3 linked regions of the Styela clava genome follow. The protein of the gene in region 1 binds, or shares a complex with, the protein of each later gene. Links are inferred from orthologs where the notes say so. Each region holds a gene or a part of one and is shown in the gene's direction. Other genes may lie near its edges. The genes, in order: fermitin family homolog 2-like, integrin beta-1-B-like and paxillin-like.

Region 1 (7,570 bases):
GGGCATAACTTAATAATAAAGTTTAATACGTACAAGTACGTGCCCGTCCCCAAAAAACAGTCAAAACACAATAAAACAAAAACACGATGTGACATCGGGCAAAATCCTATAAATTAAAATATGAGACGTGTATGTGCTTTTCCTACAGATATATGGATTAAAGAACACTCGCTGCCGAAAAATGGTGATGCTGTAGGCCTAGTTCAATTACGTTGCAAAAGTAACACAGTGACAAATTTTGAATGTTCCATCGCAGTCTATGCACAAATCATGGATTACGGTGTTGGGTTCTTTTGTCGTTTTCGGTTAGTTCAATTTAAAATCATTGTATCCGTTCCAATGCTTCCAACATCAATATCGAATTTCCACGAACGACCACCATTCAGCCATTCCAACAGGTGAACGTGCAATCGTCCCATCTTTTCTACGCTCTGTTCCATCATCCACGTCTAGATTCATAAAAAGATCGAAAGCTCGCAATATACCCGCAACTGATCGTCCACCATTTAACTTTGAATCCAATCTTTTATCCATTAACTTCTTTAATTCCATGGATGGGCTTTGCTCATATTGATATTACGCGATACAGATTACGGATTATGACTCATCGCATAAAACAATCTGATTTTTAAAAGTACCGGTAAAGAATTTTAGCCTAGTCTATCACAGCTATTTCTACACTAATTTATTAGTACTGCAATTAAATTAAAACTCCTAGGAAGACAGAGTGATCATTGAGAGAGAGAGAGTTTATTTGTTTTGTCCACCAGAAAACATATACACAACAAAAACATGATTAATAATAAGCGAAACAATTCTCGGTGTAGACTGGGTGGCAACGATACGACCATGCGGTCATCGGAGTCTGTTACCACCCAACATTAAAATCAATAAACATGAATAAAAAATGCTTCAGATATGTTTAGGTGTGTCCAAAAACAACATTAAATTTCCATGGAAAGAAAGAAAAATTACTAAAATATTTGCGTATACACAATAGGCGTTTAAAGTTAAATAGAATTTCAGACATGTTGCACACTTGATCAAGTGTGGTATTGGTCAAATTTAACATGGATATGTATTTTTGAGTATATGGAGCGGAGTCTGAGCGGATGCGAAAAGGAAGCATTGTTACGTCACTTTTTGCATCTTGTTGATTGGCCAATGTCACGAAGTAAACAAGGAAGTCGATGCTCGGGGAAAGGTCCATGAGCTTTATACGGAAACCCATACAATGAAAATTGCTGCGTTTTATGACCTGGTGCGCCTTGTGTATAGACAAAACGCCAATCTATGCGATTTATCGACGATGCGCCTTATAGTCAGATTATTATGGTGCGTTAAATACGGTAAGTCGAGGTTTCTATTACGTCCTACCAGAACATTCCACAGGAGGCGTCGTGAGACCAAATATTGAGAAAAGGCGGCCTGTAATATTGACGTCAGAGGGTGCGTCATATAGTGCCCAAATATGGTCATTGTCGATTTAGCCTTTCCTTTTGCTCGGCTAATTTGACACGAATGTTGAAAGAATGTGTTTGAAAAGCCGCTTGTGAGAAACGTTTTCATGTCAAATAAACGTTTTGTTGAGAATTGAGTCTTTATTTACAGAACAGTGGTGTTAGGGGTTTATTGACAATCTAAGGTTAGGCTTCGGTGATAAATGTTTGTCAAATATCAAGATGGCAGGTTTGACTGGCCTTTGCATAACAGCATAATGCAGTAATGATGGTTTCTGGGTTTAGTTTTGTGAACAATTTCTTGTTTGTTGAGATGTCATTTGAAGTTTACCTTGACTTGAGTACCGTAGTCTGTGTGTTACAGTTTATAACTATACAATTGATTGGTTGTTATAATAAAACCTACCGGTACTGAATGTCTAGCCTATAATCTCAAAAATGTAACAGTATCTATCTGCATAATAATTAAACAGTAAAACAGAGACCTGGAGACAGGATGCATTTTCAAGACCTTACCGGCCAAAACTGTAGGACACAGATGTGCGACATGTAATCCTAACAAGTGTAACAGCAGTTTAGGACTGCTGCGTTATAATACTGTAATAGGACAATAGACTAGACAAATAAAACTAGTAAAATACACAACACAAACTGAATTGACTATTGTTATGGCTAGCTCTGGCAATTAACGAAGTTGAATGATGTGCTTGGCAGTCTAAATTTCTGACATTGTTACCTGGCTTCCTTTTTATTTCAGTATTTGGTCCCGAATCTATGCTTACACTTTTAGCATCATTGACAACTAAATATATTGTGCAGATTCTATTAGCCTAGGTTAGCTATGTCTGATATAATAACATTATAATTCATGCTGGGTGTTTTTTGCAACCAGGCTAAACATGAGTCTGTAAAGAAAGATGACGTATTCAAATAGATTTTTAACTGGATGTGGGAGGGATAATACCACATTGCTTGCTTGATGTGTTGGCAAGTTGTGTCGGTGACAGTAGAATATATTTTAAAAATTCATTTTGTAAACTTATGAGCATTTTCCAAAGTTAAGATTTTGTTTTGAAAATCTTATTGATGTCTGAAAGCACTTACATTTGTGGAAGATGTTTCATCTTCATCACATTTGCAACACTGGTCATAGTTGTCAAATTTTTTTGGTTCTGCCCCATTGAACAACTAACACTGACTCATTGTCTTTTTCAGTGAATAAAATTCATTCCTTGTCTTTCATTCTTGGTTTATGAATTTCATTCTATTCGATTGATGCTGAGGGCAAAAAAACTTTTCAAACGCAAAAACTTCTGTTATAAAAAACATTATAGAATTGCGTTTTAGATTGATATTGGAATTCAATATTTTTGTCCATGAATAATTCAACTTGAACGAATCAAGTTTCTCTTCGATGAAACTTTTATGAATCAAACTGACAATGCTCGAGGTCATGTTTTATTCACAGGGCAAATCTTGAGAAATGAGTTTGAAATTCAAAATTAACTGTGTTTGGGAAAATTTCACTTCGCGAGTTACTGAAAACTCTGCTTTTACCTGAAATTCTAAATTTAGAAGTTTTATTGCTATATAATATGAATAGAAATGAGTTCTTTCGCACTCTTCCCGAAATCATGTTGATTGATCTTTGAGCAAGTTACGGAGCCTATTAAAATACAAAAGCCACAGAGACCATGAGTAGGCCTACCATACATATTGTCCCAGTTAGGCCGAGAAAGTCCCGATTTTGACAAGCTCCTGGCATCTGTCCGGTAGACTTAAATGTCCCGGTTACGCACAATCATGAATATTTTTTCATATCTGATATTAATAAAACATAATTTTTTGAAAAAAAAGTGCACATTTTCTTATGATTTGAATGTTAGTATTCCTAGGAATCGAACCAAGGGTTTGTCCAATCCTCACTCCATATTTGGTTTTATATATATGATAAACCTAGTTATGAGGAATTATAGAATTGTTAAAATGATATTTGAAGCAGTTCATATCGATACGAACAGGAAAACAGCTATGATGCAAATAGATGAATCTATTTTATTGTGACAAAATCATGTGAATATTAGGACGCTACACTAGTAATTCTGAAAGTGCATAATATACTTCAGTAATCGAAAGTAGAATAACTTACCATTTAGGACAGTGGTTCTCAAACAGTGGTGCTTAGACAATTTTTCGAAGGGGCGGGATCGTGAAGCTAATTAAAAATATGATATTTTGTCAGATTTGATTTTGCCGGACTTATTTTCGATATTTAATGTGTTTTTTTGAATAAAACACACATTCGCCGCACTATCTGTTATTGGTAGCTTATTTTTATCTAGTTATTTTTGAGATGACGTGAAATTTGACAAATTTTAAAATGTTTGAGAATCACTGATTTACAAGAAATAGTGTGTTCGAATAGTTCATTTTTGTGTTTGTTAGTACAATCTTAACTCTGCTACTAGTGGAAATCATTGAGTAGTTAGTCAGTAGTTTATTCAAATTTAAGTTTATCAGACATGGGGTTAGCAAGGCATTAATACATCCTAGTACAGGGGTGGGCAACCTTTTCCGGCTCGCGTGCCAAAATCGACTAAATTTAATGACAAAATTCTTCTGCGTGCCGACCAAAATTGTCGAGAGCTCACTCAGTTGTGATGTCTTAATATATTTCTTTGGAGCCATATGTCATGAATGGAAAAAAATTATTTAAATAAATAACGGATTGTTAACAAACGATAATGATTAAACCGACGCAGAGTTTCAACAGATAATTCAGAGTCTTGAAACTTTTTATCTGAAGAAAATGGATTTCGTTTCTGAAGCCTCGCTCACGTGCCGAATAAAGGGGCTCGCATGATAAGTTCAGAACGCGTGCCAGGGGTTGCCCACCCCTGTCCTAGTACAACTGAACGATGCTTAGGGTGACAAACAAAAAGTGTTGCATAGCCTATATTTCTAAGTAAAGCGTATCAGTGATGCTTTCCTAATTACAATCTTATCAATCAATACTTCAATTGTTATTCATTCACAGTGTTATATATGTAACGTAATTTTTCACTATCATGAATTTCTTATAAGTGTTTTCTGTCACACGGATTATTGAATCACAATGGCTAGTGGTTTCCGAACTGCTGATGGGACGTACGCTGACGGATCCTGGGAGTTGAATATTAGAGTAACGGACTTGCCAATTAAAAATGATCGGGTAGGCAATCAAGCATGACAGTATTATTAGAGACATTACATTCTCTTTCTGAACAAGGCCCTGTTGAAGCGTCCACTAACATGAGCTAATAAAGTTTGGGCTGGAGTATACAGCTTTGCATCACCAACTTATTACGACCTGATTTATTTGAGAGGCGTGGAAATTAATAATTCAAAAAATCATGAAGATGAATCTGTAGTCCTTGTTTTTCAAACTGCTTTGTGAAATTATGCTGAAATGCTTTTTGATAGCAAATAGCAAAATCTGGGAGGTGTGAGAAGATTTAGATAACTATCTCAGAATGTAAAAGTACCTTTGGCTGTAGCGCATTATGGACTAGTACTGCATGGTACCCATCTATTTTTTCTTTCACATGTGCTGATTTCGTCTGGTTTTGTTTTCAGGGTGAAACAGTTTCAGAACATCTTGTACCAGTTCTTGTACGCAGTGAGGATTCTGTGGGATTCGCAATCTCTAGATTAGTGGAAGCTTTGAAATTAAAATTTGGTGAGTTGATGTACAATTAAAAATAGATCCTTTTACTGCTTTTTATATGACATGTCAATATGTTTTTTGCTCTGAACAAGGCTCTGCAGAAGCAGACTGCTACCATTACCATAATTGGGTGTGACTCCAGTTTCACATTGCCTAACTTTAACTTATTACTCCTTCCACGGGATTATGGCCTATATTGCATCCTAGTTCCAACTCTTAGAACAGGGTCATCAACCCACGGCCAGATTTAGCCCGAGTTGTGAAATAATCCGACCCACTAAGCTCCATTGAATTGTAGCGACAAAATGGCGGTTTCGAGGATTAATTAATTTTAATCTACGCTCAAGGAGTATATTATATTCTTCACACAACATAATTTATTGTTAACGGCTATTAATTTAACGAGCCTACAATTTTATTATAATCAAACAACTGGCAACACACATAAAAGTTGATGCTGAGCGCAGGGCGCAGACTTTGCTTTTGCGTAAAAACTCAATAAATATAATTGACTTTTTTTAAGATGTGACTCAGGATTGGTCAGGTTATGAGATGTGGTGGCCAAAGAAAAATAAATGGCTGATGAACAGCAATCATGCCTTGGTGAGAGAAGAAGTTCAGGCTGATGCTGAATTATGGTTCACTATGAGACATAAGGTTAGTCATTACAGCAAGGTTTCCCAACCATTGAGAATTTTTGCTTTGTATTCCCTTCAGTATTACTAGTATTATTCAGCAAAAATTCAAATCTCCGCCATCCCGTTTTCTTTTCGCCAATGTTTGAGGTGAATTCCTCGATTTGTTTTATCGAAGCTTATTTTTTCTGCCAGAGTGATGTATTCTCATACCCGGTATGGACTGGTAAGTGAACCAGAGGCTGTGGTATACACGATATGGTTAACTATCCCCATATTCGACATGGACTGGTAACCGGACCATAGACAATGGATGGTCACATGATTAAGCTTTCCCCTCCTTCCCCTTTCCCTGAATATGAAAACTCTCACATTGCCTTTGTTTACAGACACTTCGAATCCAACTATGCGATCTGCAATACGCAAATATTAGAGTTGATTTTTCATCAAAAGTTTTCACAGCGGTGAAAGAAATTTGTAGATTTTTTGGTGAGTTGGACTTTGACTGTCTCTGAGAAACCTGCCCACAGGGTGATATGTGGATAATTTGATATTTACCATCTTTTACTTTATAGCTAATGACCAATTTTTCAAACTAACGTCTTTTACACGACATCTTATTTTTTCTCACTTAAAAAGGCTGTTTAAGAGCAGCCACTGCTGGCTAGGGAGCATAGTAAGATTAATTATTGTTATCATCGGTTGAAAAATTGTTAATAAGGTTGATAAACTACGATCTGTTACTTTGTTATGCATACATGCCCTATCATTTACTTGCTGTCCCATGGTGGGGAACTCTACCTGATTTTATTGTTATCTTATGTAGACAATAGACATTGGTTATATTAATAAAACTGATCTGAACAGTATATTAGGTTCATTTGTCATATCCCTGCTAATTTGCTTCAGATATTCGTCGACCTGAGGAATTATCTTTACTTCGCGTCCAAGAGAAAAGAGACGGCCACAAAAATTCTCCACAGAGATCTCACGCAAACGGAAGTTCTTACGATGAAGGACTCATCGCTCCAAACGTTCTCAATCCAAGCATGACTCCGACATCTCCTTACACCCCAGGTCAGTTCATTTGCGTTCTTTATTCTAAGTTAGTGGTTTCTAACCCGATGCCCATGGCCCTTCGAGGGCCACAGAGCAGTTGGAGGGGGCCACAAGGTTAAGCACAGAACTGATTATACTTTACCCTTTCAAAAAATCCTCCCAGTTCTTCCTAGTTTAATTTCTTGATGAAATTATTTCACAAGGTTTTTTTTCTTTGTTGTGCATAATTTTTTTTTAACATAATGGAAATTGGAATCTGCCCATCAAAATAGCACTGGAATGATTAACAGGGGGCCATAAGTGCTAAAAGCCTGCGAAAGGGGGCCAAGATATTAGAAGGTTGGGAGCCACTGCTCTAAGGCTTTGGACATGCAACCACTATTGTGCCTATGGATGTTCAATCTGGAGAAAGTTCTCCCTATCTTGACCCAAATTGAAAAAAAAAGTTGGTCTATTTTCCGGGAAAATTTCGGTAATAAAACTTTTGGGCAAGCGCAAGCTTTTTTTGACAGTTTGACAGGAACGCTCATTCAACTTAATATTTTTGGGGTTATTTTCAAAAATTTCAATTACCGTACTATAATTGTCGTTAGATTGAGAAATTTTGTTTTCAGAGAGTCTGAGACTACAACCTCACTTTCAACCTGTGAATTGTAATCAATGAACTTTTTTGACAAATATCTCCTTTTGGCGATAATGGATCTCTTTAT
Region 2 (7,059 bases), on another chromosome or scaffold:
GAACGCCCATATGGGTGTACTTTTAAAAAAATTGTAAAATTTATGTACTTATAGAGTATATCGCTCTTAGCTGTTTATCGACGTAATGAGAGAAGCGATAAAACCTTCCAGCCGTGACGCAAAGTGCGAATCCTATAAATATCCTGGATTTCAAAATCACCTGTCAGACGTCTGAAAAATGTGACTCCCTTCAGACAGGAAATACTCCTTTATAACGACTTATTATTGTTTTAGCATGTATTTTCAGTCATACTAACTATCCCTGACCATCCCTGGCGCTGTGTTGTTTTGATAAATATGATTTCGAATGCTCCATAGTTGGCAGAGGTATGGAGATTTTTTGTATGTAAAAAAAACGTAAAATTAATGGTAATTTTAACGCGTAAATGCGCGTATGAGATTGGTTACGCCGTTCTACGCGCATTTCCGTCGAAAAAATTTAATTTTTTTGCATTGGGGGTGGTCTGTGCAGTAATAATAAGAGCTGTGACGTCATCAGTATCGGTAATTTGACCTTGAACTTGACAATACTGTAAATACAATTGTGAATTTCAGAGTGATAACCATTTATGCTATAATAGTCGTTTTGGTATTGTTATGTTAGGAAAAACTTGACGAAAACGTTGAAGAAAAAATTAATTAATTAGGAATTAATTATTAACCCTCTACTGTACACAGAATATCTCAAAGTCCAATTTTTTTTTTAGAAATTTTTGAAATTTTTTTGCAAAAATTTTTTTCGAGGGGTGTGTTTTAAAGATATATTGCTGAATAGAACTCTAGCAGACGCTTTTAAAAACCCATGAATAAAGCTTTAGGGATTAATGGTTGACATAAAAAAATAAGTTTAAAAATACCCATAAAATGGGCAGGGCTTGAGGCTTAAAAAGGGTTAACTGATTAAGATTCGGTGATGCGCATCACTATTTCTCGTTTGAAGACCAACATTTCAAATTTGGTCCACCAAAAACGTTTTCGAAAAAGTAGTTTTTTTCAGGGCGTTGAACGGTTTCAGTAAATAATTATTTGTTTGCGTTTTACAGAAGTGCATTTCACCGTAACTTCAATAATGTTAAAAAGCGTCAGTTCCTAAATGTTTCAAGTAGCATTTCATCAAAACTTCAATACTGTTAAAAAGCGTCAGTCGTTAAATATTTAAATTGCATTTCACCGTAACTTCAATATTGCTAAAACAAGTCAGTCGGTATATACTGTCAGATTTAGGTACACGAATGTTCCATGCTATATGTTAATTACGTAAAACGGTTGACTGTGAATATAATGAAATAATTACCAGCAATCCATAAAGAAGGAGGGCGGGATGGAAATGCCTTCCCGGTGGTTGTCCACCATTAAATCAAATCATCTAACAGAAGTAATTTTGTTTATTTATTTTTTTATTGCAAAATAATTTTAAATCTTCTAACCGATAGGTGGTGGTGGTTTTATTGCGCTAGACCAGTGGTTCCCAAACTGGGGTCCGTAAAGCACTTTCGGAGGGTCCGCGAAACAAATCCATAATATGGCTAATAGGCTGATAATACAAAAATTAAGTGTCTAAATTTGCAAATACACATTTGTCGCCTTTTGCTGTTTTGCAATCACCGCTGGAGACACTGATTCCTCACCTTTTGTTTCGATCACGCTGCCCCATTTTGATATCACAGCGAGAGTTCGGTTCATGCCCCCACAAGCTTACTGACTGCATGGCTGTAGCTGACGCCGCCCTTTTGCTGGACTGGATGTCACACATGTCATTGGAGTTGTGCTTTATATAATTTTATTCGTTTCACTATACGGCGCATTGATTTTCTGTTGTGATCTTTTAATGTTTTATTTTAGCGCACAAGGCCGGATATCATTAAAAAAAATTCAAGGGGTCAGTCATGGAATTTTTTTCAAAAAGTTCGGGAACCACTGCGCTAGACTTACCAGCTTTGATGGCATCGCAATTCGCAAGTTACACATCTCGGGTTAGAATCCTATCGCTCATCGTAGGCAATGACAATGGAAAGTTCCAGTCCTCCCAAATTGAAGTGTTTATTTATCAATCATCATTTTTTTGTCAAGACAATATAAATATATCCCGGTAACGAACTCTTGCGCAACCCGGTGTCCGTTTACTACTGCGTTCCACTCCACTATAAGCAACCATATTTATTGGACACGAAATGTACATAAATATATATATGAACCATTTGGTTATTATGTTGTTGTTCTTGTTGGTATTTTTCTTATTGTTTTTATGGAAAACCCGCTTTTCTCATCAACTATTGGACCAATTGCTTTGAAATTTTCAGTGATTAAAGATTGTATTTCGAAGACCCCTTTCCTTTGATGCCCTTAGCACGTGCCTATTTCGATTAATGGTTAATCTAGCCTTGAGTGTAGCTGTGTGACTCCCAGCATAAAGAAACAAAAAAGTATAGGACTCGGTGACAAATTAAGATGTTTGGGAAGTACTCCTTACTATTGGCATATTTTTAAATCTAAAATAACCATCAATGTAAACCACCTGCTAGAGGCGCTGTGTAATGTTAAGAAACATGTTATATATATATTGAAGAGTGGAATAAAAAATACTACATCCATAAAATACTCAAATATTATTTATGATAAAAATGTTATCAATTGGGAACTTATTTAAAGAACTTATTTAAATTCATTTTTTCAAGTGTAATATTATTTATGCGATAAAACGTAGAATGTTATAAAAAATCAATCAATCATCATTTATTTATCAACACACTATAAGCATAAACATTACAAATATCAAAAGAGAAATAACTTAAATTGTGCGACAGCAGTCGTGCAAAATCTGAAAAGTGAATAAAACATAAATATCACACACGTTCACCTACCAAAAACAAAACAAGCACAAAACCTAAGGAAATCTATATACTGTATACATATTTGAGATCGAAATCAGATACCCCCGAAAATAAAATAGCTGACAGATGGTACCGAACCGCAAAGTGGCGTTAGATACTCAAAATTTTCGGGATTATGGTTTTGGGAGAAAATACTTTCCCTGGGCGAGGTTTATCTGTATTTGGTATCGACTGTGGTTGGAAAAAGTGAGTAATGTCTGCTTGTAATTCACCAGTCAGTCAGTATATGTTTTGTTGATTTTCTCCTTTGCGTTTGTCGATTCAGAGTCGGCTGATACTAAGTACAAGTTATGGTGAAGCGAAGGGTTCAATAACTGAAAAGAACCCTTGTTTCAATAGCCGAAAAGCAAAGTCAATGTCAGCTTGTCTGTTTGTCGTAACGGTATCTCATACATTCAGACATTGGAATGCAGATTTCTGATATTTTTAGGTTGGAGCTACCGTGTTTCCCCGAAAATAATACTTACGGTACCCTGGAAATAAGACCTAGTTAGCATGAATTTTTAAAATGATTTTAATAGTCAATAAAGCAAAATTATTTTTAACCAGCAAGAAATCTTTCATACTCGTTTTAAAGGATTAATAATCTATGTTTAGCAGTTATTTTAAATAAAAACTTGTTATTTATTTGTAAATGGATATCGTTTTTCATATTTTGTATATTTGAAAATTTAGTAATTCTCTAAATGAAAATAGGAGACATTCCCCCAAAGTAAGCCCTAGTGTTATTTTTCGAAAGAAAATTGAAATAATAAACTGTCTTATTTTCGGGGAAAGACTGTAAAATAACTGTTTTAGCCTAGATGTTAATGATTATATTAATCAGTTTCTAAGATCTGTAGTTACTAAGTTAAGAACTCTTGTGAAAGTCATTTTTGACTTTGGTGTCCAAAGTAGTCTGGTAGTCTAAAAAAGCACCCACATCTTCAGATTTTAGTTTAACTATTTAAGCAAGCAGTCTGTTTTGATCATATTGATGTTTGAATTCTGTAATGTGGTGAACATAATGGTTAACGTTAACATTTTTTATATTTATACATACTGTTTTTTATTTTGAGTTTAGATTTTGCATATAATTTCATTCTATATTCAAATTTTGACAGATTTCTACATACTGTGTTTTTTTATATTATTTTATAAATAGAAAATCATAAAAATTCATTACTAGCGAAGATGCGTCTTCTCTTTTCTTTTTGTCTTCTGCTTGTTTTATTATTTGAGTATGGAAATGGTAAGTGTTTAAATTAGCATATTACTGTTTTAGCGCCTAGTTTATACAGTTGTTATGTGAGTGGAGGTCATATGAATGCTTACTATATATTTTATCATTCTGTCAATCAAGATATTTATAGTATTAATGACCACAATCAATAAACAGACATCTAAATATATTTGTTTAGGGAAACTGGACTTTATTTTTGACTCAGATGCTTGTTAATGATATTTGCATTTCTCACTTTACATTATTTTTTATCCAAATAGTATTTAAAATAGTATGACTTTTATTTTGCATATCTGAGTTTTAATTACATTCATTCAGTACATTCATTTAAAAATAATACAGTTCTTCTATATTTCAAGGTGACAACCCATGTGTAGATAAGAATGCAAAATCATGCAGTGAGTGCATGCAAGTTGCTGGATGTGGATGGTGTGAACAACCTGTAAGTCTTGAATAATAACAATTAAAAAACTTCCATTCAATAAGTATGTAGATTTTGAGTCAAACAATAACTTTGATGATAATGTTACCTAATTTCCAATTTCATCTTTCATCGAAATTGTCTCGTAGATATTGAATAAAAAAGAACAGTTCAATTCAGGAAGTAGCCTACAGAAGTACTTGAAATGGAAATTACTTCCTGGATTATCTAATGTGACTCAGTATTGTATTGATGGAACTAAAATGTTTGTAAACAATATCATAAAACGTTGAGAATGAAATATGGTAGAACATAGCTCATAATATGATCATATCATATGGAAAACCCCAACCTGTTCATTTAATTACCAGTTTTCAGTTTGGTAATGGTATGCTAGTGCTAGTCTGATATATTAGTTTGTGACCTATCCTACACATAAAGCATAGATTTAAACCAGGGGTTCCCAAACTTTATTAGTCGCGGGCCAAAGTTAGAATCGGAGGGATGTTCGCGGGCCGGAAGAGTGTGGCGCCCAGAAGTGCGCGACGGTTTAGCTGGGGTTCACCACGGCTGTTATGTATCCAAAAATGTCTGTTTTCGGAGTCTAGTTTTCCTTTGTGTCTTGACATCTCTTTCTTATATGGTTCGTAACTAAATTACTGCCCTATGTAATCCCAATACGAATAATTGAGCTACCGCTATAATGTAATTGTTACGATAATCAGGTGCCTCAACTGTGATAATGGTGTAACACTTGGCGCTATCTGGAACGCAAAATAGCAGAAACAAAATCTTTTGCACACTATTTCACTTGAGCTCGGCGGGCCTTTTTTGATCGTTAAGCGGGCCGGTTTTGGCCCCCGGGCCGCGGTTTGGGAACCCCTGATTTAAACTTATAACGATTCTTTGGATTTTCTATTTATTTTTTGTTATATTCCAGGAATATGCAAACAACCCCAATCTTGTTATATCGAGATGCGATTTACCAAAAAATTTAAAGGCTGGAAAATGTCCTGATGAATTCATATTGAATCCACCATCGTCTGTGAACAATACAGGTGGGTTATTTATTATATTAAATCTAGTAAAACCACACTTAGATTATTCTGTCATTCTTTTTATAAGCGATTTAGTTTGTGGATCATTTTCGAAGCTTCAAGGCCGCGGATGTACAAAATTGGTCGAGTATGTTCGAAATTCATTATTCTGCTCCCCAGTGATTTGGTCATCATGGCCTAAAAGACCTTCATTTGTTTTTTGTAAACTCTCAAAAAAAGCTTATCGATCAAATTACAGGTGCAACAACACAAATTATCAAATTTTATCTTAATTAAATTCCATGCTTTTCCAAAAAAAACTAATTGAATATACATGACCTCTATATGTTCTTTGTTGAGGATGGCCCAATTTAGAATAGATTCAATATTCTTCGATGGTTGAAAAGAATATTTTAGTATCGAGATGTATTTTTTGATGTAGCCAACCTTGCTGAAAAGGTTATAGAATTTTAATATGTGAGACACCACCTAAATGCGAGTTATGTCAGAGTGCCAAGCGATGAAGCATGTATAAAGAAGAGTATTCGAATAAAAAAGATTATTGCTACGTCATGATAGCTTTTTTGTTCTGGGAGGACGTGCAGATGTCTTTGTTTGCCTTGTTTTTGTAAATATTTTTCTCAACATATTTTCATTTTACATTAAAGTTGATGACCCACATTCATCAGTTGGAAGCTCAGATGTTGGGAAGGCAACACAACTCAAACCACAAAAGATTGATGCCAAATTGAGGCCAGGTAGTTATTTTGACAATTCTTCAATTTTTTCAGCATTTTTACGAGTTTATATGTTCCAAAGCTCTGCGATACAAGTTGTTATTTTCCTTGCAGAGTCTAGCTGATGCATGCATATAATGAATTTTTGTATCATTATGACCATAAAATTCACAGTTACCACTATATTATTTATCAAATGTTGCCTGCAAAGCTACAATATATTATTATACTCATGTATTTATGAAAGTTATTTGTATGGTGATTATATATCCCATACAAACATATCTCAATAGTTTACTACAGAATTTTTATGGCCAAATATTTTTATGTATGCCTTCATATATTTCCACCTCTCATTCAAGTCTCATTCAATATTTTGTTACATTGTTTTGCCGTAAACTGCGCGTCTTCGAAAGTCTGACTTTGATAAGATGAAATGTTACAGAATAACTTTATTAAAATGTAATACAAGGCATTGCACCACTAATATATAAACATTAGATGATTTTCAATTCTCCTGACATTTTGGACATTCAAACTGAATCATGAACTGAAGTTTAGATATCATTAACGGACTAGCAGGCACTATTAGTGAAAGCAAATGTATATAAATTGTGTTTTATATTCTGGTACCTTCTGGAAGAAAAACCCTTAACTGTTCGAAATTTTTCACCAAAAATGCAATTTTTCCAACAGGATCTCCTGCTCAAATCCAAATATCTTACAAACAAGCTGAAGATTATCCAGTGGA
Region 3 (7,664 bases), on another chromosome or scaffold:
CGGTCACAAAGAAGCACGGATATCATCAGACCATTAATTACGGTTTGACTAATTTCTTTCGACACAGAGCAATTATCGGGTAAAGCTTATGCTGACCTTCTTGTCTCATGTCAAACATTGATGTACGAAAATATCTTAAAAAATGTATCTAAATTAATATTATAATATATATAAGTTTGGACAATGGCGTTCTGTTTTCGTCAAAATTAGATTACTCCCCGATGACTAATTAATTGGAATGCAGAACCATTTCATTGTAGAATCACTAAATTTACTCATTTGTGAAATGTGATGTTCTGCAGATTTTCACACCAACGGAAGCTCTCAAAATTCATTATTCTACAATAACAAGATATTTTTCGTGAAACGTAGCTAACATTGGAAAATGCATTATTAGTTTCCTGACATTAATTTCCTTCGTGGCAAGAAACTTCATCAGCGGTTATTTTTTTTAAAGAAACTGCCCAGAAAAATGGGTCAAAATTTCGAAAATTCGCGTTCGTGAGACACATGGAATTCGACTCATTTTCTAGTTTCGATCCATAGTATAATTTTAATAGAATTCCCCGGATAACTAGCGGGTGATTAATTTTTGACATGATCGATTTCCCTTTTACTTCACCGTGCCTAGCGTTCATCTCCACCGTGTGTTTGTCTCTTAAATTTTGGTTACGGCAATTGTACTCAGGTACTTGGGCTACTTTGTGCTATTTTGTACGCCACACCGCCGAACCCCCTGTTACTAATATAACACTCTCTGAGTGGCATTCCCTTTCAAACTATTTTGAAACCATGAAAAGTACCGAGTCATAGAGCGAGCTGTAATCAGATAAATTCATTGCAATATCGTTATTCAATTCCTCCTCTTCAAATGATTTCCATCTATTATAGGCCTCCAGAATTACAGATACATTATATGATTGTATGATAGTTTATTATATCATGGTTTTCATACTTAGTTACATTCTTTATGGATACCGAATTATCAGGAGGGTGAGTCACATGTCAAAGTCATCATCATATCGATCTTCAATTCTTTCTCTCTTAAATTATTTTCATATATATATATATATAAATATATATAAATGTTATCATCTTTTAATTACTTAAACTATTTTCATATATATATAAATGTTATCATCTTTTACTTACTTTATTGGCCGTAATTTTCAACAACGTTTTTGTCCAGGACTTTAATCATGCCCGATCCTTACATTACGCACTGTGATATTCGTCAAGAAGACAGTTCCACCAATTCCGCGAGAAATAATGTACCGTTTCAAGACTATTGTCGGAGAGATCGTCAAAGCCAACTGTATCCTTGTACTGAAAATATCACATAACTGGTACTGTATCAATAGGCGTAGTCAGTGCGGGGGCCTGTGGGGCCATACCACCGCCACTCCCCAAAAAATCAACAATTTTGTTCAAACAGAATTTCGCGGCATTTGCAGTGAGATATAAATTCATAGCCCTCCTTTCCAACGCCATTTTGCTCTATTCCTAAACGATTTACTGAAACCGGACATTTCCTGGTTTGATAACAATAATCCTTTCACCAAATGAACCAAACACCAAGATAGATAAATATGCGCGCCTATATGTATTTGACAGCAAAGTACGTCAGTAGAGCAATTCTCGAAACGATCCTTACACATTCAGACGACACATTATTGTCACTTATAAAACTTTCAATTTCCCTGTGATCTTATCCCTTATATTTTATCGTGTGTAAGCACAAAAGAAGATTCAGAATATATTGAAAGTGTAAATTAATATACTAAATAATAATATATTTGGTATGGAATTCTTATTTTTTGCTCTTCTCTATTTAAAATTTATTTAAATAACTTCCTAGTCCCGATTAGATATTTATCTCATATCTAATCAGATATCATTTTTTTACATAGTGTATGTATATATTTTTTCCATATGTATATCTTGAGAGTGTAATATTACGGGATCTACATATTTATCCCGAGGGAGAGGAAAGCCGATAAGACGTCTTAATCATATGGCGAACCACGGCCTCTCGTCCGGTTACCAGGTCGGTATGGGATTAGTTAGCCAGTTATTTGTTTTCGGAAGCATGGACTTGTGTTATTAATTTATTTATTCATGTGCTTGCTTTAGCTGGTAACCGACTCAGATGACTGTTAATGGTCGTATCGTCACCACCAAGTCATCTACCGAAACCTAATTTTTCTCATTTTGCTATCATATATAACAGTGGCGGCGCGTGGTCATTTTGACAACCAGGGCAAGCTACTGCGGGACCAAGTCACCCCCATCTACGGGGACAAGATGAGCGCTGTAAGTTCGCCCATCATTTTATGAGTATAAAAACCATTCCATCGGTAACAACCAATCGGCAAAAGCGACAATTTTTAACGATAAGAAAGTGTCTTTAAAACCGGTCAAAGTCAAGGGATTAAAAAATATAGACATAGTTTATTTTGAAACCTCTTTCAAAAGGAAAGGCAATGTTTACCCAGATAAATACAATGACATATTAACAGAAACTTCGCGAAAGCAGACAAAACCTAAAATAAGGTTCAAAACGTTACTATGAAGAAAGGAAAGTTAATGCAAAGATAAGGACATGCGTCGCTCACTCATAGATATATATGCTGCTAGACTTCTACTGCTTGAACATATATGCAACACGCCGCGGTTTCTTGGAAGCAAAATGCTCAATAACGCGCTGATTAAAGTCATGCAGAAATAACGTCTCTGTGAATGGATAAAACAGCCAAGGAATTTAATCTATCTTGCTTCATTGTGTTTCTGAGATACGTTTTAATATGCTTCAGCGTGCTGAATGTTCGCTCTGCGTCGGCGGAAGAAATAGGCGTCGTCAAAATGATGTCCAAAAATTTTGCAGACGCCGCAAAGGTAGTTACTAGAGTGTTATCTATGAGGAACCCATAGAGCGCGCAAGTTGATGTGATGTTCAAAAAAGTTTGATTGGTGTATATACATCGCAATTCATTTTCCAATTTACCCACGTTTATCATGGGGTAAAATTTGGAGACAGTAGCCAACAAATGGATGGGAAATTGACGTGCAAATTTTGAAAAATTTTTGGGGTTCATCAAAGAGAACGCGGCAAGGTGTTCAGTGCGCAGACGATCGCCTATTTGATTCACCAGAATGTCACAGCATTCCTTTGCAGACAAAATCAAACGCTGCGTTGTTTGCCCGCGGCGTAAAGAAGCACTCCATGTGTCGTCGTATTTTATTGTTTCCCGGATACGAGATACAGCATCGCAGAAGTCTGAAATACACGACTGCACAGACGCTCCATCCATTAGCCTTTACTGCAATGCGCCGTATAATACATCCACGTGATAGAATATTGTGGAGAAAAAAGCGAGAAAAAATGAAAACTCACCATCTTCTAGCAGAAGCTTTACCCCTGCCGCCTCAATGCGTGAATATGTCAACACGTTGTTGTAAGAAACGTCGGCATTGTGTCGTCATAATTTCGGGGCTAGCCCCGATCGGCCCCGATGATTTAGTAAAAGAAACAGAAAACAAACGAGACAAACGCGGCGAGTGGAAGATAAGAGAGAATAATGAGCAACCGGGGCAAAATCGGCGTCGCCCCGTCGACGTTCGGCGAAGGCTTTGCGAGCGAAAAATGAACCATGTCGGGAGAATATGGCTAGTGTAGACTGTAGACAGTCTGTGCAACCAATATTGAGGTATTTTTCGAATATTTTTTATTATACCGAAAAAACAACCGGGGCATTGCCCCGGTTGGCCATATTGACGCGCCGCCACTGATATATATATATATTGTATGTGTTTTCTGGTTTGAAGAAACAATAAATTCTCTCTCTCTCTCCTAGGTACATTTCGATTCATCCGGGATCGTGATTTGTGTCATCACGTGGAGACGCTATAGAGCATATTGCAAAATTGTGTCTACTCTAGTAGTCGATGACAGCGGTGAATGTCAAATTCTTTATTACTAAGAGTTCGTATTTTCGGTTCTACGGCAAGTTTACATAATTACATTAATTGTGATAACAGGAAAGGTAGATAGTTTTGAACTAATTTGAAATCATGTATTTCGATAACCAAAAATATCATATTCATGAATCCAAATTGGCAATGGATTTTAATTTGGCCACCCCCCCAAAAAAAGTAGATAGATAAGTTGTTGTGTTTCACTTTTTTGTATAACTGCATCTGCATATCTATGTTTTATATTACTGTATGAATTAAAGAAAAGCGTACATACTGTACTGAAATATGAATGTAGGGTAACTTGACCGTTAGTTCTAATGCTACCATAAATTAATTCATATTTTTATATCTGACACAATTCTGAATGTTTTTCAATTATCAAATTATGAAATTGAAGTGCTACTCGATCGATTCTCACAAACTACAATTTTTTTAGGATATGTAACCTTATTAGTCAGTCCAGCATATACGGTAGTTACTGCATTGTCATACAGTCATAATATGAACTATCCGTGTCCTGTTCCTGAGCTATTCCTGTACCGGTACTGCGGAACTCATTCTTTTAACACAGTGACGTATTGACGGTACCAGTTCGCTAACGCTGTTCGTTTATCTAATAGTTTGTGTCCTATTTTCAGAATTTGAAAGCCATAGTCTGAGAGTGCTCACATAAACACAGTAACAACTTATTTCAGTACGGTATTTTATCATCAAGCAACATTCGAATATAGCGACAGATGAAAACGGGAACAGAAAATCTGTTTGAATCGTCTGCTTTCCTGTTTTTGGGGTAACAGCACTGCAATAACTTTGACTAGAGGAGCTGAGGATTGATTTGAACTAGCTCTTTGAATAAGTTTTTTGTTATTCAAAAATCTGTTTCACATTTGTGAAAAATTATACCATTTAAAAGTTGGGAGATGGAGGATTTAGGTAAGTGAAATTCATACATTCAATTTGCACTGGTCATACTTTTTGTCTTCTGCAATCTATGCTCGTGAGGACATAACAACTGAACAAGGGTGCACTGTTACATATTACACTGCTGTAGTCTGACAATGTATTACACTTTCTATTTATTATTTTTATATATATTTTGTGTGAGTGGTATACTCGGATAATTCTGTAGCAATTTGAATATTTATTCCTTTTATTTATTTATTAGTTTTACATTCACAGTAGTTAAAAAAACTAAAGTTGAGATTTATCAAGTTCGACCATAGCAAAGGTAAAAAACTAACATTTTTAATACTGCTCGAAACACAAAGACCATATGTCACAAAGTTAATATTATCAAACATACTTGGATTAAGTTGAGTAAACATTACCGCTATCATAATTATTAATTGCTTTCGGTATGTGGGTTATTACTTGTCAAATTATTAATTTATCAAAAAGGAAGTTATCAATTTTGTAGCTTCCTGCTTCTCTTGGTCAAGTAAACAGATTGAAAGGGACTTTTTGGTATGTCCTAGCACAGGGGTGCGGACCTATTTTAATGAATGGCTCAAAAATAGATTTTTATTATGCAACAGAAGACTGCGGTCATATATACTTAATCAATGTCTGTGTCAATCAGCTTTTGCATCTTTGACACAAGTCTTAAAAATCCTTGGTTGGTATTGTGTAGTTTTGAGCTTTACGAGTGTAGCACTTATATTAGAATTGAGGCGATTTTATGCAATTCGTGTTCGAAAGCACCAGTATGAATTACCAGAAAATGTTTTAGTTGTTAGTTCAAGTCTATAAGGCATAGTTTCCTAAACGTCATTGTGTACTAATAAAGAATAGACTGCATAGTGGCGTCTGCTCTTGTTGCCCACCCATACTCTTATATATATGTTTAAATGAAGATAACAAGATAATTAATTAGGTGGTTAATTAGGTACCAGTAACTTATAATTTAGATTTGTATTTATTCCTAAAACTTGTTTTGAATAGTTAACCTCATGTGTTTTGAAACTGATTCATTATGTACCGAGTACTGCAGAGAAAGTTGAGTCTTGATTCGAATATCATTTTCAATTATTATTGTCAACTTATTATATTCAAAGAGTCTTGTTGTTTTGAACAATATTTCACAAAAATTATATTCTCTTCTTGTCTGCTATCACTTGTGTGTGAGAAATAAGCAGTGATCAAACTGATTGCTTTTATAAACTATGAAGGAAAGTTTGACCTGTTTGACGGTGAACCTGTCAAGTCAATAATTATTGTAAAAAACATACTGAAATGCAAGTGATGAACATTTATAATAAAACTGGCCTTCATTCAATCTAACAATAAGTGAACTACTATAAATGTAGTTTACCTACAGTGGTGCAGCCAGGGCTGCGATTATAGGATGGAACCCACATCTCGGTATTAACCAGTCCCAAATTTGGAACTTTGTAACGACGAGCTACGTGTTACGCTCATTTACGAATGATAACAATATCATGCACATTGAACACTAAAAATAAAACAGAAGAGGATCATAAATTTTGTTTTAGGAGTTTTGAGAAAGTGAAAAAAGTTGTTTTAAGCACGCTAGTTTAGATACTATAAATCGCAAAGATTTTATGTACTGCACAGGAAATAAGAAACACTTACACCACGTGCAATGTGCATTTTCATATATTGTCGGTTTCATATTACCCTATTAAAATTACCACCACCAATTTATTCCAGAATAATCCAGATCCTGACAAAATGGGAACTATTTATTGGAAGATTTATTCAATCACTTTTCTATTTTACTTAAATGAATTGTATTCCTTGATTAAGATTCTAGTTGAGGTAAAAAGCTTTATTATTTAACGTAGTCGTTGTTTAGGTTGAATGCAAATGTTATAGAATTTCATTTTATGGGTTATTCCTTATTTACGGCTGTGGATCATATATTTTCCAAAGCAAAAAGGATCAATATCAGCTGAAAACGTTACCTTTTTTTACTATTGTTGTAATTGCTGTGATTGTCTCAAAATTCGCTGCAAGGGAATTACCACAACTTGGTATTGTTATTTTTAAAACCCCCATTTCGAATGGCCAGTCTGCACCCCTGTGTACTGTTTTTTTGGGAGACTACCCCCATTATCAATAATAAATACTAAACTCTCAATTCTCTCAATGGATAGATAGTATTAGATACTTCCTATTTTCATCCTTCCCTTATAGTCTTTTGAATACCCCTTTTTCTAACGTAAATTACTAGTATTGTCCAATTCATAAACTAGTGAATGAAAAATAAATAAAATGAAAAATCTTTTTTAAAAAGGGAATCTAAATATGAATTCCACTTATTTACGTAGTTGGCCCAAGTTTTTTTGAAATTATCCATAATTCTGAATATGAATACGAGTCTCGACCCACTACATATCATCTCCTGTTATTCGGAAGGACCTATTAATTACCAACAAAAATTTGTTATTGATTGATAATTGATATGAAATTTGATATTTCTCTAATTAACTAAGATCCTGTCGCGGACCCGGCAAAATACATGTAGGCTATATATAGCCTATAGTTACATTTTTAATAAAACCAGGGCAATCGAAAGTTCACATCTTTGGTTAAAACCGCTGTGTCTACCCATGCGACAGCCAAGTTATTTTGCAAAACAATATTGATATGACCGCAATATAACTCAGAACGTATGGGATTATTTTGTTTTTGCAAATGTTTTGTCCCTATTTTGAATTGACGCGAAT

The links.
Region 2: the proteins of fermitin family homolog 2-like (region 1) and integrin beta-1-B-like are in contact, whole or in part, in a crystal structure (PDB 8TEE), measured with the Mus musculus proteins. The link is inferred for Styela clava from reciprocal best matches to the Homo sapiens genes FERMT2 and ITGB1. Residues at the interface, in NP_666166.2 of Mus musculus: Phe609, Ser610, Asn611, Met612, Lys613, Gln614, Trp615, Asn616, Val617, Asn618, Trp619, Glu620, Ala629, Asp630, His647, Ile654, Ser657, Thr658, Lys674, Leu675, Ser677, Gly678; in NP_034708.1 of Mus musculus: Ala786, Val787, Thr788, Thr789, Val790, Val791, Asn792, Pro793, Tyr795, Glu796, Gly797.
Region 3: the proteins of fermitin family homolog 2-like (region 1) and paxillin-like are in contact, whole or in part, in an NMR structure (PDB 6U4N), measured with the Homo sapiens proteins. The link is inferred for Styela clava from reciprocal best matches to the Homo sapiens genes FERMT2 and PXN. Residues at the interface, in NP_006823.1 of Homo sapiens: Gly42, Gly43, Met45, Leu46, Glu50, Lys55, Lys56, Trp58, Ser59, Leu73, Thr75; in NP_001074324.1 of Homo sapiens: Ala562, Phe563, Cys564, Leu565, Gln576, Lys579, Tyr581, Lys588, Leu589, Phe590.

Annotation. Positions count from the first base shown.
Region 1 is NC_135255.1:24,188,718-24,196,287, forward strand, and holds the start of fermitin family homolog 2-like, read left to right. Parts: upstream 1-4,501; 5' UTR 4,502-4,575; coding exon 4,576-4,671; intron 4,672-5,075; coding exon 5,076-5,178; intron 5,179-5,689; coding exon 5,690-5,823; intron 5,824-6,190; coding exon 6,191-6,290; intron 6,291-6,710; coding exon 6,711-6,878; intron 6,879-7,570. UniProt on the Homo sapiens protein: Scaffolding protein that enhances integrin activation mediated by TLN1 and/or TLN2, but activates integrins only weakly by itself. Binds to membranes enriched in phosphoinositides.
Region 2 is NC_135261.1:8,767,971-8,775,029, forward strand, and holds the start of integrin beta-1-B-like, read left to right. Parts: upstream 1-3,973; 5' UTR 3,974-4,064; coding exon 4,065-4,122; intron 4,123-4,472; coding exon 4,473-4,555; intron 4,556-5,474; coding exon 5,475-5,592; intron 5,593-6,239; coding exon 6,240-6,329; intron 6,330-7,004; coding exon 7,005-7,059.
Region 3 is NC_135252.1:7,085,512-7,093,175, reverse strand, and holds the start of paxillin-like, read left to right. Parts: upstream 1-4,613; 5' UTR 4,614-4,895; coding exon 4,896-4,908; intron 4,909-7,664. UniProt on the Homo sapiens protein: Cytoskeletal protein involved in actin-membrane attachment at sites of cell adhesion to the extracellular matrix (focal adhesion). Recruits other proteins such as TRIM15 to focal adhesion.